3 separate regions of the Mus musculus genome follow, and regions 1 and 2 are each reported to be linked to region 3. Evidence: microRNA targets listed by miRTarBase, many of them from high-throughput screens and not tested one by one. Region 3 holds a microRNA gene; each other region holds the end of a gene's coding sequence.
What was found. The annotated mature microRNA mmu-miR-26a-5p reads UUCAAGUAAUCCAGGAUAGGCU and lies in region 3 at 2,674-2,695, opposite strand. An mRNA with a match to its seed (bases 2 to 7 or 8) in the 3' UTR can be bound and repressed. Matches are read on the target gene's strand: a 7mer-m8 pairs with bases 2 to 8, a 7mer-A1 pairs with bases 2 to 7 and ends in A, and an 8mer does both.

Region 1: miRTarBase lists Arsb as a target of mmu-miR-26a-5p. The part of its 3' UTR that is shown has no 7-base or 8-base seed match.
Region 2: the mRNA of Srprb is a reported target of mmu-miR-26a-5p. Seed matches in the 3' UTR shown: 7mer-m8 at 1,380-1,386.

What each region holds. Positions count from the first base shown.
Region 1 is chr13:93,940,139-93,943,138 of GRCm38, forward strand. It overlaps Arsb (arylsulfatase B), which reads left to right. Exons shown (of 8, transcript NM_009712.3): 8 at 328-2,878. The coding sequence ends at 593. Among named protein-coding and RNA genes, the nearest start is that of Lhfpl2, 120 kb to the right of the region's middle.
Region 2 is chr9:103,187,669-103,190,668 of GRCm38, reverse strand. It overlaps Srprb (signal recognition particle receptor, B subunit), which reads left to right. Exons shown (of 7, transcript NM_009275.4): 7 at 248-2,636. The coding sequence ends at 461. Among named protein-coding and RNA genes, the nearest start is that of Srprb, 13 kb to the left of the region's middle.
Region 3 is chr10:126,993,594-126,998,237 of GRCm38, reverse strand. Mir26a-2 (microRNA 26a-2) reads right to left here and starts at 2,708; the gene lies at 2,625-2,708. It overlaps Ctdsp2 (CTD (carboxy-terminal domain, RNA polymerase II, polypeptide A) small phosphatase 2), which reads right to left. Exons shown (of 8, transcript NM_001113470.1): 5 at 4,330-4,386; 6 at 2,291-2,383; 7 at 2,027-2,212; 8 at 1-1,877. The coding sequence ends at 1,752.

The sequences.
Region 1 (3,000 bases), not on the chromosome of region 3:
TTGCGAGAGATCTTAGAATTACTGTGCTGTTGCTTGATAGCAGGAGTACCCTCATTGCCCCAGCCATCGTGACAACTAACACCCCCATCCTGCTTCCACCCCACATATAGTTTTTAATGTCCCTTGTAACGCTATAGGATCCGTATCATCATGGCATGGAAATCGTATTCTGAACTCGACATCAGAAGGCACAGGTTTTTTGTTTGTTTCTTGATGTACGACCATACCCACAAAGCCAAGGAAGCCTTGTACCCAGATTCCTGAAATTAGAACCCACCAACAGTGCCCCCCACACACACACACACTAAAGTTTAATTTCTTTACCAGGCTGTGGTTACTGGTTCCCGCCTCCGTCTCAGTCCAACGTCTCTGAGATACCTCCAGTGGACCCACCAACCAAGACTCTCTGGCTTTTTGATATCAATCAGGACCCTGAAGAAAGACACGACGTGTCCCGAGAGCACCCCCACATCGTCCAGAACCTTCTTTCCCGCCTGCAGTACTACCATGAACATTCTGTGCCTTCTCACTTCCCACCCTTGGACCCCCGCTGCGATCCCAAGAGCACTGGTGTGTGGAGCCCCTGGATGTAGGGCTCTGGGGAGTAAGGGGGGCTGGAGCCCATTTCTGGGCAGGCTAGACCTCAGGCCCCTACTCCCCTGGCTTCTCTTCTTTATCATCCCCCACCCTGTCACCTGGCCCTCATGCTACATAACCCACCAAAGGAGTCCAATTTCAACCCACAGTACATTCTAAAAGCCAGTAAAATCTGGAAGGATCTTGCTGTTGGCTGGAGTTAGTGTCTGGGGCCAGGGTGGCCGGGTTCATCCTGCTTCCTAAACTACAGACGCTGGGAACTTGACATAGGAAGTTATCCCTGAGTCCTGGAGGCCAGGACAGCTGGCTCTTTTTGCTTCACAAGTCAGCTGTTAGAACTCCCTCTGCTAATAACCAGCTTTATTGGCAAGACACATTTCTTGTAACAAAGGCAGGGAGCAGATGTTGCTAGTGGTTCTGTTGGCTGTGAGTGCTCCCTGTCTGTGAGCTCTTACTCGGGCTTTCCGCACCCATGACCCTAACCCTAACCCTAACCCTAACCCTAACCCTAACCCTAACCCTAACCCTAGCCCTAGCCCTAGCCCTAGCCCTAGCCCTAACCCATCCGCTCACTCATCTTCCTGTGGAGCGCACAGCCCATTGCAGTAAGCCAGCATGGAGACATGCCTGTGCCGTGGTTTTGGTTTCCATGATAACTAAATGTGTTTTTATCTCCACCCCCACCCCCACCCACTATTGCTCATTCTGTCTAGACTTCTGCTACCCAGCTTGTGTGGCTCTGTTCCTGTCATGCCTTTGGACTTCACTGTCCTGTGCCTGAGGTCTCTCTCCCCTCTGCTTCACCCATTCTGAGCTTTAGGATAGTCCTAAGCCCTGCCCAGAGGAGGTGGACTGGTCATTCTGTGTCCATGCTAATGGGAGTTGTGGGTCTGTGGCATCTGCTAAGGAGGATTATTCACAGTTGCATGGAATCTGTCAAGATTGTGGCTATATCTCCCACTATGCCATGGTCTATGCTGTTTTCTCAAGCAGTGGCAAGAAAGGCCAGGATAGCACTTCTTCGCCCTGAGCAGTCTCAGAAAGGAAGTGGCCATGGAATGTTGGCCTCAGTAAGGCAGAGGAGACACCATCCATGTCCCTTTCATTCTCTGTTTCACTGCCCTGTTCTGGGGCTCTGGATTCTGGGCTTGGAGAATGAGGATACACTATTTGACTGTCAGCCCTTTCTCAGACCCTCATACATCTTACCGATGTGAGTCCACCAGATTCGCAGCAGGGTGTGTCAAACCCAGTGGTACTTCTCATTAACACCTCTGTCTCATTCACAGTTTATCACCAACATCAGCAACCATGTCTGCGACATAATAGATAGCCAGTACTTTTTAAAAATGAATTAATAAACAAAGTAAACGAGAAAGAGTTACCTGGCATTTACTAGTCCAGTGAGCTGACTGTAAGGGCAGAATAAATATCCTCCAGCCCTTCCGATTCTGTCCTCAAGCTGTCCCCTCCCACCTCTGCGCTAGCGGGAGAATGATCTGGGCAGTCAATGAATGGCAGGTCTGTGATGGCCTCTGCAGGTAGACAAAAGAGAATTCTGCTTCCCGGGAAGTCTCCTTTGCCAGCAATCTCCATTTCCATTCTTCACTGCACACTAGGAATTAAAACCACCAAATAATATGATATGCACAGTCATCTTCAGTTCAGTAGCAGCATCTCCTGGTCATTAATATTCTGTATTTTATTATGGTAAGAGTATTATAAGAAAATGGTACTATGGCTAATGACATCTTTTACCAACCTTTACCCAACTTGGCTGACATATAGCCTGCCATTAGGACACTTTTTACTCCAAAGACTGTGACAGAGTCTGAGTGACATGAGTCTGAATACTCCTCCTGTGTCCTCCTGTAGCTATAGGTGGACTGACGGTCCCTACTTCATAACACCTACCTGATCGTTCCTTAGTGTTCTCAGAACAGCTGTCCTCAGTTCCAGCTGTGACTGTAGGCAGTGTTTGGAATATTAGCATAACTAATGGATTTAAGAAGACTTTCAGAAAGTGATTCTTAAAAATAACTGGAGGTTTTGTCTGATAAAACAAATAGAATGGAATATGTCTCAGATTATATCTCATTGGATTTTCATGTTTGATACAAAAGTAAAAGCTTGATAACCTATTTTTAGAGATATTAATGTTAGTTCTTTCCAATTTTGTTTAACCTTGAAGATTTTATTTAACTTGTGAACTTACTCCTTTGTTATGCCATGATTGTTCCAGATTTGAGGAACAAAATAAAATAAAATCTTTCTAAAACTATGTCAGCCTTGGACATGGGGTCTCTCCTTGTGATGGTTGAAAGTTCAGGAGCTTGGAGCAGTGGTAGTTGAATGTCACAAATGTCCCCAAGGTGCTGGTATGCTTTAAGGCAAGGAAAAAGA
Region 2 (3,000 bases), not on the chromosome of region 3:
TGAAGTTTCAAAACCATGAGTTTTATAATACAGTGGGGCCATTCAGGAGAGCTTAGAAGTAGGTAGAGGCTTCAAAGAGCTGGTGTGACCTGGGTCTCCTAACCCACTGGTGTCTGTCTGAAACAGTGATCCATGGACATAAAGGACAAGCCAGCAGTGTCAATACCGACTGGTGCTATCCCTTTGATTTAGGAGCTCATAGGATTTTGGGCTTTGTTGCGTCTGACTTTTCTCCCTTTGCCCCCAGCAACACCTTACGAGTCACCCGGTCCGCGGCTCCCAGCACACTGGACAGTTCCAGCACCGCACCTGCTCAGTTGGGGAAGAAAGGCAAAGAATTTGAATTTTCCCAGTTGCCACTCAAAGTGGAGTTCCTGGAGTGTAGTGCCAAGGGTGGACGAGGGGACACTGGCTCTGCTGACATCCAGGACTTGGAGAAGTGGCTGGCCAAGATTGCCTGAGGAGCATCGCTGGCCACAAGCGTTGGTCATGTGAGACTGACCCTGCAGTTTGAGAAAGGGCGGTGGTGGTGTGGACTGATAAAGAGGGGGCATGTCGTTGAAGCATTTCTTGAGTTCTTGAAACAATTGTACCACCCCCACCCCACCCCCGTCAGCTCCTTTCTCAGCTAGTCCTTTCTTAATTCCCATATTCTTTCTCCCTTTGCTAGGTGTTAGGTGTAGCATCATGTTAGTGTGAGACATAACAGAGAGGGCATCGCTTTGAGAGTAGGGTCGCATCTGAGAAGTCCTTGTCTCCTGCCTCTGTGTTGGTCCCTTTTCCTGGGACCAGATCTGCCTGCTTGTGGAATAAGTGAACTTGCAGTTGCCCCTGGTGTAGGCATAATACAGTGTCAGTTCTTAGTGGAGTCTGGGGTGTGAAGGTCTACAGTGAAGACAGCTTCAAAGCCACAGGCACAGCTGACAGTGTGTCCTTCACGGGCTCAGTGACCATCCCACACCACCCTAGCTGACAGTGTGTCCTTCACGGGCTCGGTGACCATCCCACACCACCCTAGCTGACAGTGTGTCCTTCACGGGCTCGGTGACCATCCCACACCACCCTAGCTGACAGTGTGTCCTTCACAGGCTCGGTGACCATCCCACACCACCCTAGCTGACAGTGTGTCCTTCATGGGCTCGGTGACCATCCCACACCACCCTAGCTGACAGTGTGTCCTTCACGGGCTCGGTGACCATCCCCACACCACCCTAGGTTCAAAAGCTGCCGCAACCCCGAAGAGTCACCCTCACAAGGTGGCTCTAGGAGCCAAATCCCCAGACACTCCTAGGTTAGTGTTCTAGAGGCTCCACTGGGGAGAGCAGGGAGACAGCACACTGCTGCCTCGGGCGTGCGTGAGCCCAGGCTGTCCCCTGTGCTACTTGATCAGCTCCTGTTGTGTCACCCCAGCTAGAGTGCTATGGAACAATACAAACTGAAGATGTCCACTGTGCATTTTAAATACATATTTATTCATGATGCTTTAAAAAATGTTACCTTTTTAAAGTGATGCTGTCTTCAACATTTGTGTTCTCATTGCTTTTATAAATGACTGGTATCTTGATAAATGACTATACTGAAAGCATTGAGTCAAATGATGAGTACAAGTGGGAACCTGAGCTAGAATTGAACCCCAGCTCCAGGTTACTGAGCCTACAGATCGCTGCATATATGAGACTCTTGGTCTCGTCTCACACTCAGAGTCAGGCTTCACTAAAGCCACACTAAAGAGACAGGCAGAGCATTGACTCAGGTGCAGTGCTCAGGGAATATGTGTGGCGCTCTGGGCTGGCCTGGACCAGTGAGAGGGACAGGATAAACACACAGGTGTTCTCTGTGCAGACCAGCCCAAGCCTCTGCCTGCTGACACATGGCCTCCCTGTGGGTCACCTGGGCTGATAATAGAGTCCCAGACCATGATTCCCATCAAGTACTCAGCTCCCCACTCCTAAAATATCTACTGGCCTTGCTTATGGTGTATGAGACAGATACAGCACAGCACAGGACAGATAAGCCATGAGATGACTCAGTTCTCACTGGGAGGCAGTATTGCTGCTAGGATTCTTACTGCCCTTTGCACACTGCTGTTCATGTTGGTCACGGACAAATGGGAAGGGCACGATGAAGGACGTTCACATCACAGTAGGTGCTCATCAAAAAAACCTTTCAGTTAGAAAATGTGTTCGCTGGCCTCCCTTTTGTCTGCATAATAAAGTGATTTTACTTAGTGGGAGAATCAGTACATCAAAAAAGTGACAAGGATGGAGAGCAAGGATAAATGTTATTTATTTATTTATAGCCTGTGTCCTGAGCAAAAGGTAAGCTGTGCAGGGCTGGGAACCAGGTTAGTAGAATGCCTACCTGGAACGCATGGGTCTGGCTTTGCTGTGGGCTGCTGTAAAAGCCAGCTCTAAACAGGCAGCCGCAGCAAAGATTCTATGTCTGGACTCTTCCATGGAGCCACGGCAGAAGCAGCTTCTCACTGCTAGGTGCCTTGTGGTCTCTCGGGAGGCCTTGGCCCCTGCCACTGCTTCCCAGGGCCTCCAGCACCTCCTGACGTGAGCTGTTCTATCAGAGGGGAGGGGAGGCAGTGGCCCAGCCATTGAGCTATTTCAGGCACAATAAAATATAAGGCTATGTGTGTGTCTTTTATTTGGGAACCCAGAATGTTGGTGTAGGTATCAAGCGCGCTCGTAGATTTGAGTAAAATTGACAACCGGTGTCACCCAATGTGGGACTTACACTCACTTTTAAAAGTTAGAGATTCCCAAGAATACACATGCCTCCCTTTAAGATTATGAGGCAAGGAGAATGTTTCTGAGCTGAGCTGAGTCATGTGGTTCCTCCCCAAGGTTCAAAACTAAGGTTTTGCTTCATGCTAGTTTGGCACACATGATTCTGGGGCTTGTGGCTCAAGGCTAGGACACACCCAGGCTGACCCAGGGTCATGGGCAGTGGGCTAAAGATTCAGCCAGAAACTCCTGTTCTGGGCTGCTACAA
Region 3 (4,644 bases):
AGCCCTCAGAGCTTTGTGAGAAGACCCCTCCTGCAGTATTGGGATGCCAGTGAGATCAGGGTCTGGACCTGAAGCCACAGTCAAGCTCCCATGTTCCTGGCTAGCACCTGCAGCCCTCAGCTCACCTTGGGAGGACCCTACAGACACCAGCAAATGAGGCTGGGGAAATGGCATGTGTTTGTCACAGAAGTGAAAGCCAAGGCTCCATAGCCTCGGGCCCAGGAAGAAGTCTGCAGAGTGCTGGAGGAATGCCAGCCAGTCTCCACTCACACCACCACACTCCTCCACCAGGCTTTCTCAAACCCCAGGCAGGACCTCGTGTGTGGAAACTAGAAAAATTTGAAAATATTGACTCCTGAGTGGGAGGTACCACACCTGAACCAACCCACAAACGCTGGCCGGCCTCCAGGGGAAGCAGAGATGGGGTAGGAACTCCCGCCCACCTCGGAGGGAGGCAGGGAGTGGGCGGGACTCACTTAAGGCAGTGAGGTGGAGGCCCCTCAGGGGCCCCTTGTGTTCCCAATGGTAGCTTTCCACTTTGGGGAAACTTCCACTCTGTGACTGACATTGAAAGCAACAGGGCTGAGAGCTCAGAGCTGCCCAGAGCACAGAGCTATGAGGACCTCACTCAGTCCTATAACGAGAAGCAGGAGGCATTTGGCAAATCAAGTAAGAGCAACACTTGGGACAACCAATCAATTAAGTACAACCGGGGAAAGTCCTTCTCCCAAGGCTCTGGAGAGGAAGAGCAGCAGCCGAGAAGGATAAAGGCGAGAGCAGACGAGAGCTGGCCAGGGCGGGACACCAGGAAGACACAGAGGGAGAGCCAAGCCCTCCCCAGCCTTTGGAGCTAATGTCCTTGCATCAGCTAGCACAGAACCCCTGAAGAGCACTTTTGGGATCTACACGCAAGGAGACAGACATCTTGCATTGAACATTTGCATTTTCTTTGTACCCCAGCGCTTCCCACACAAACCTCAGGCCCAGGACTGGAGCTCGGGCGAATATAAACCACTCCAAGTTTAGAAAGAGATTTTTAAGAGTTAAAAGAACAGAAATCAGCTATATGTCCTCCTCCAGGGCAGAGAGAAGACCTCCTTTCCCATGGGAGTAGGACTATGGCTTGGGAGTGAGAGGCTGGCCTGGCACTGGAGCCCGGGTACAGAGAAGTGCCCATGGCAGGCATTCTTGCTGGAGCCAGGTGTAGCCCATAGGACACAGAACCTGGTGGGTCTGCGAACATGCTCTCATATTCCCAAACATGTCTGCAGCTGCTGGCTAGGTTTCTGTGTTTTCTGAAAGATGTGTGTCTGGGCATCCAAAGCAGCCTCCGGCCTCTCCCTTCTCCTTGGCACAGGTCTTGATGCTGAGGGAAAGCCATGGTTTGGCGAGGGAGCCTACAATAGTTTTCATGGCTGTAAAGCTCAGTAGCTCACAGCATAGCAGGAAAGAAGACAAATGACTTGGGTTGAGTCCTTATCTTTCAGCTTCTCCCCCTACTGCACAACTGGGCACCCAGGACCATAGTTTACCGGACGGGCACATGCACGCACACACACCCACACAACCACCTGGGAACTGAGCACGGGGTGCAGAGAGCTCTGGGTCTTGGTCTGATTTCCTGCTCTGCGTGTGACCTGCTTTTGTCCCACACGCCCTGGCTACTTGCAGACCCCGTCAGTGAGGCTGACCACAAAGGCACAGTGTAGCAGAGTCCCCTGTTGGGATGGCCGTTTCTTGGAGCAGGAAGGCTAAGGGGCCCGCAGCTGCCCAAGGCTGGTGTAGACATCATCAGTTCCACTTAGCTCCTCGAAGACTGGAATCAGGTTCAGCAACTCTGTATCTGCCATGTCATCAAACCAGGACTGCACAGGCACCTGGGGCAGGAAAAAGTGACATTATCTGATATTTCCTTTCCTTTCCAGTGCCATTGGAGGCTGCTGGGCCACACAGGGGTTGTGGACTCCTCTGATAAAGCCCACGGGCCCAGCCTGCAGCCACCCCAGTCCCTGATGCGAGCACTCACTGCATTTTCTGGGTGGAAGATGTAAGATGCAGGGGAGTTGTCCAGGATGACAGTTTTCCTCAGGTCCCTTCCCAGGCGGCTGAGGTCCTTGACATAGCAGCCCTGGTGGAACACACAAGCCTCTCGGAACAGGCGGGCCCGGAACACCCCGCACCGGTCCAGGAGATCAGTCACAGGGTCAGCATACTGGAAAAGAAGGAGAAGCTTTAGCCTAGGCTGAGGGCTGGCTCTCCCCTGCCTTCTGCCCCTCCTGCAGTCAGGTACCTTGGCCAAGCTGGCAGTGAAGAGAACACATTCGAAGAGCTCCCCCATCCGTCTCAGGAACTCATCGACGTAAGGCCTCTTGAGCACATATACCTGGGAGACAGAGTGGATTGCTGTAGGAACCCCACAAGGCCAAGGACACAGCACCGGCTCTGCCTGTGCACTGACAGAAAAGCAAGCAGGCCTAGATACCCAGGTCGAGACACTGAGACCTCTGCCCCACCATGGACAGCTCTACCATGTTACCAGGCTTCTGCTGCCTCAACAGGCCCAACCCTAACCCGGCAGGAAGGAATGCACTCCCAGGAGCCATCTTCATTGAGGGCAGACCATGCGCTGCCTCCAGAAACAAGTAATCAAGAACAGGCCTCATGGACGGACACAGCCTATCCTGGATTACTTGAATCCAGCCGCAGCCTCCACAGTAGCCTTCTGTACGGGATTCCAGCAGGACGGCTTGTGTAGGTCCCATCTGGCAAGAACCACAAACTTCTTCAAACACACACCCTCGTAGGTTTGTGTGCACACCACCAGCTTCGAGGACTTGCTCGCTTTTAAAGGTTCTTCAACTAACTCGCCACCCAGTCTATGATCTGCTGCTTCTTCTTTCTTTCTTACTTCAGCCTGCACAAGTGTTCCTTAGGCCCACTCACTCACTTCCTTAAAGCAGCACAGGGGGTGTGCCCACCCCAGTCCCTCCTAGCCCACATCAGCACCAACTGAGCAGAGCCCTCCCATTTAGCAGCAGAACCCTCCATGCAGCTGCAAATGGATCTATCCATCACCTTCCACTTCTTAAGCCTCACAAACAAGCCCCTTCCTCACCAAGCATTGCTCTCCTCCCAGGCTCTCCTCAGATCCACATGGCAGGCAGCCCTCTCACTCAGGCCCCTTCTGCCCATGCCAGAGCCCCATACATTCTGTACATTTCTATTTCCTCAACTAGACAGCAGGGGGTGATGGGTGGAGTAAAGAGCCACAGCTTCGAGGCTCTGTACAGAAGTTCGTAAAGGGGCAGAGGGCTACGATGACAAACCCAGGACAGTCTCAAGCTGAACTTTCTCAGTCTGAAAACAGGTCTCATGCTTGCTAGGATGTCTGCATCACTGTCTCCGGCCCTCCCCTGGGCCGACCAGCATGCCTCTGGGCACATGGTCTCTCACCAATGCCTCGTGGTCCTTAACCCTAGGCAGCAGGGTGTACACGGCAGAGCCTGGACTCTGCCACTCTGACAGATGCATATGGAGCACTTACAGAAACCAGTGTAGAGGTCAGAAAGGTGTCATAGGAGGGGCCTGGGCCAGGGAAGACACATTCAGTAGCTCTTCACCAGAGGGCACAGGAGCAAATCCTAACAGCCCTGCACACAGAGCAAGGCTCGCCTGGTCTAAGCATGGACTGCATGGGCTGGACAGCATATGCTCTTCATTGAGGAGCTGGGTTCAATTCCCAGCAACCCCTGGCAGCTCACAACTGTAACTCTGGTTCCAGGGGATTCGACACCCTCACACAGACACACACGCAGGCAAAACCAGTAATGCACATTTAAAAAGCCACAGTGATGGCTAGGACTATGATGTGAAAATGCCAGGGGCTGCACACAATGGTGAAGGCCTTTAATTAACTCCAGCCCTCTGTGAGGTCCAAGTCAGCTAGAATTAAATAAAGAGACCCTATCCTGGGCTGGAGAGATGGCTCAGTGGTTAAGAGCATTGACTGCTCTTCTGAGGTCCTGAGTTCAAATCCCAGCAACCACATGGTGGCTCACAACCATCTCTAATGGAATCCAATGCCCTCTTCTGGTGTGTCTGAATACAGTTAAGTGTACTCATATACATAAAACAAATAATTCTTTAAAAATATTTTTAAAAAAGCCAACAGTTCTTGCAAACAGCCTGACTACATAGAGACAGGAGTGTTGGCTAGAGGGAAGTGTGGATGATCTGGAGACAAGCCATCAACAAACATGGAAGCTGATGATAAACAGGTTGAGAGGCAGTTTCCCTTTGAGGCAGGGTGTATGCTGGCAAACAGCTCACCTGGTGCGTGGTCCCCTCAATCTCTACAGGCACTATGAAGTCAGCATTGTTGATCGGCTAGAAGGCAGAAGTGCACAGTGTCAGCAGACAGGAAACCCTACCCCCTGGAGACAGCCCACTGAGCAGTTCTTAGCCAGCACAGGGCAAAAAGTATCACATATTTTCCGGTTTCCCTTCTCCTTCATCCACCCATCCATCCTACCCACCAAATTCTACCTGAGGTAAGTTTCAGGGCTTTTGAGATGGGGTCTTGCTACATAGTCTGGGCTAGCCTTCACCTCCTGCTCTCATGAGCTATGCACACAGGCATGCATG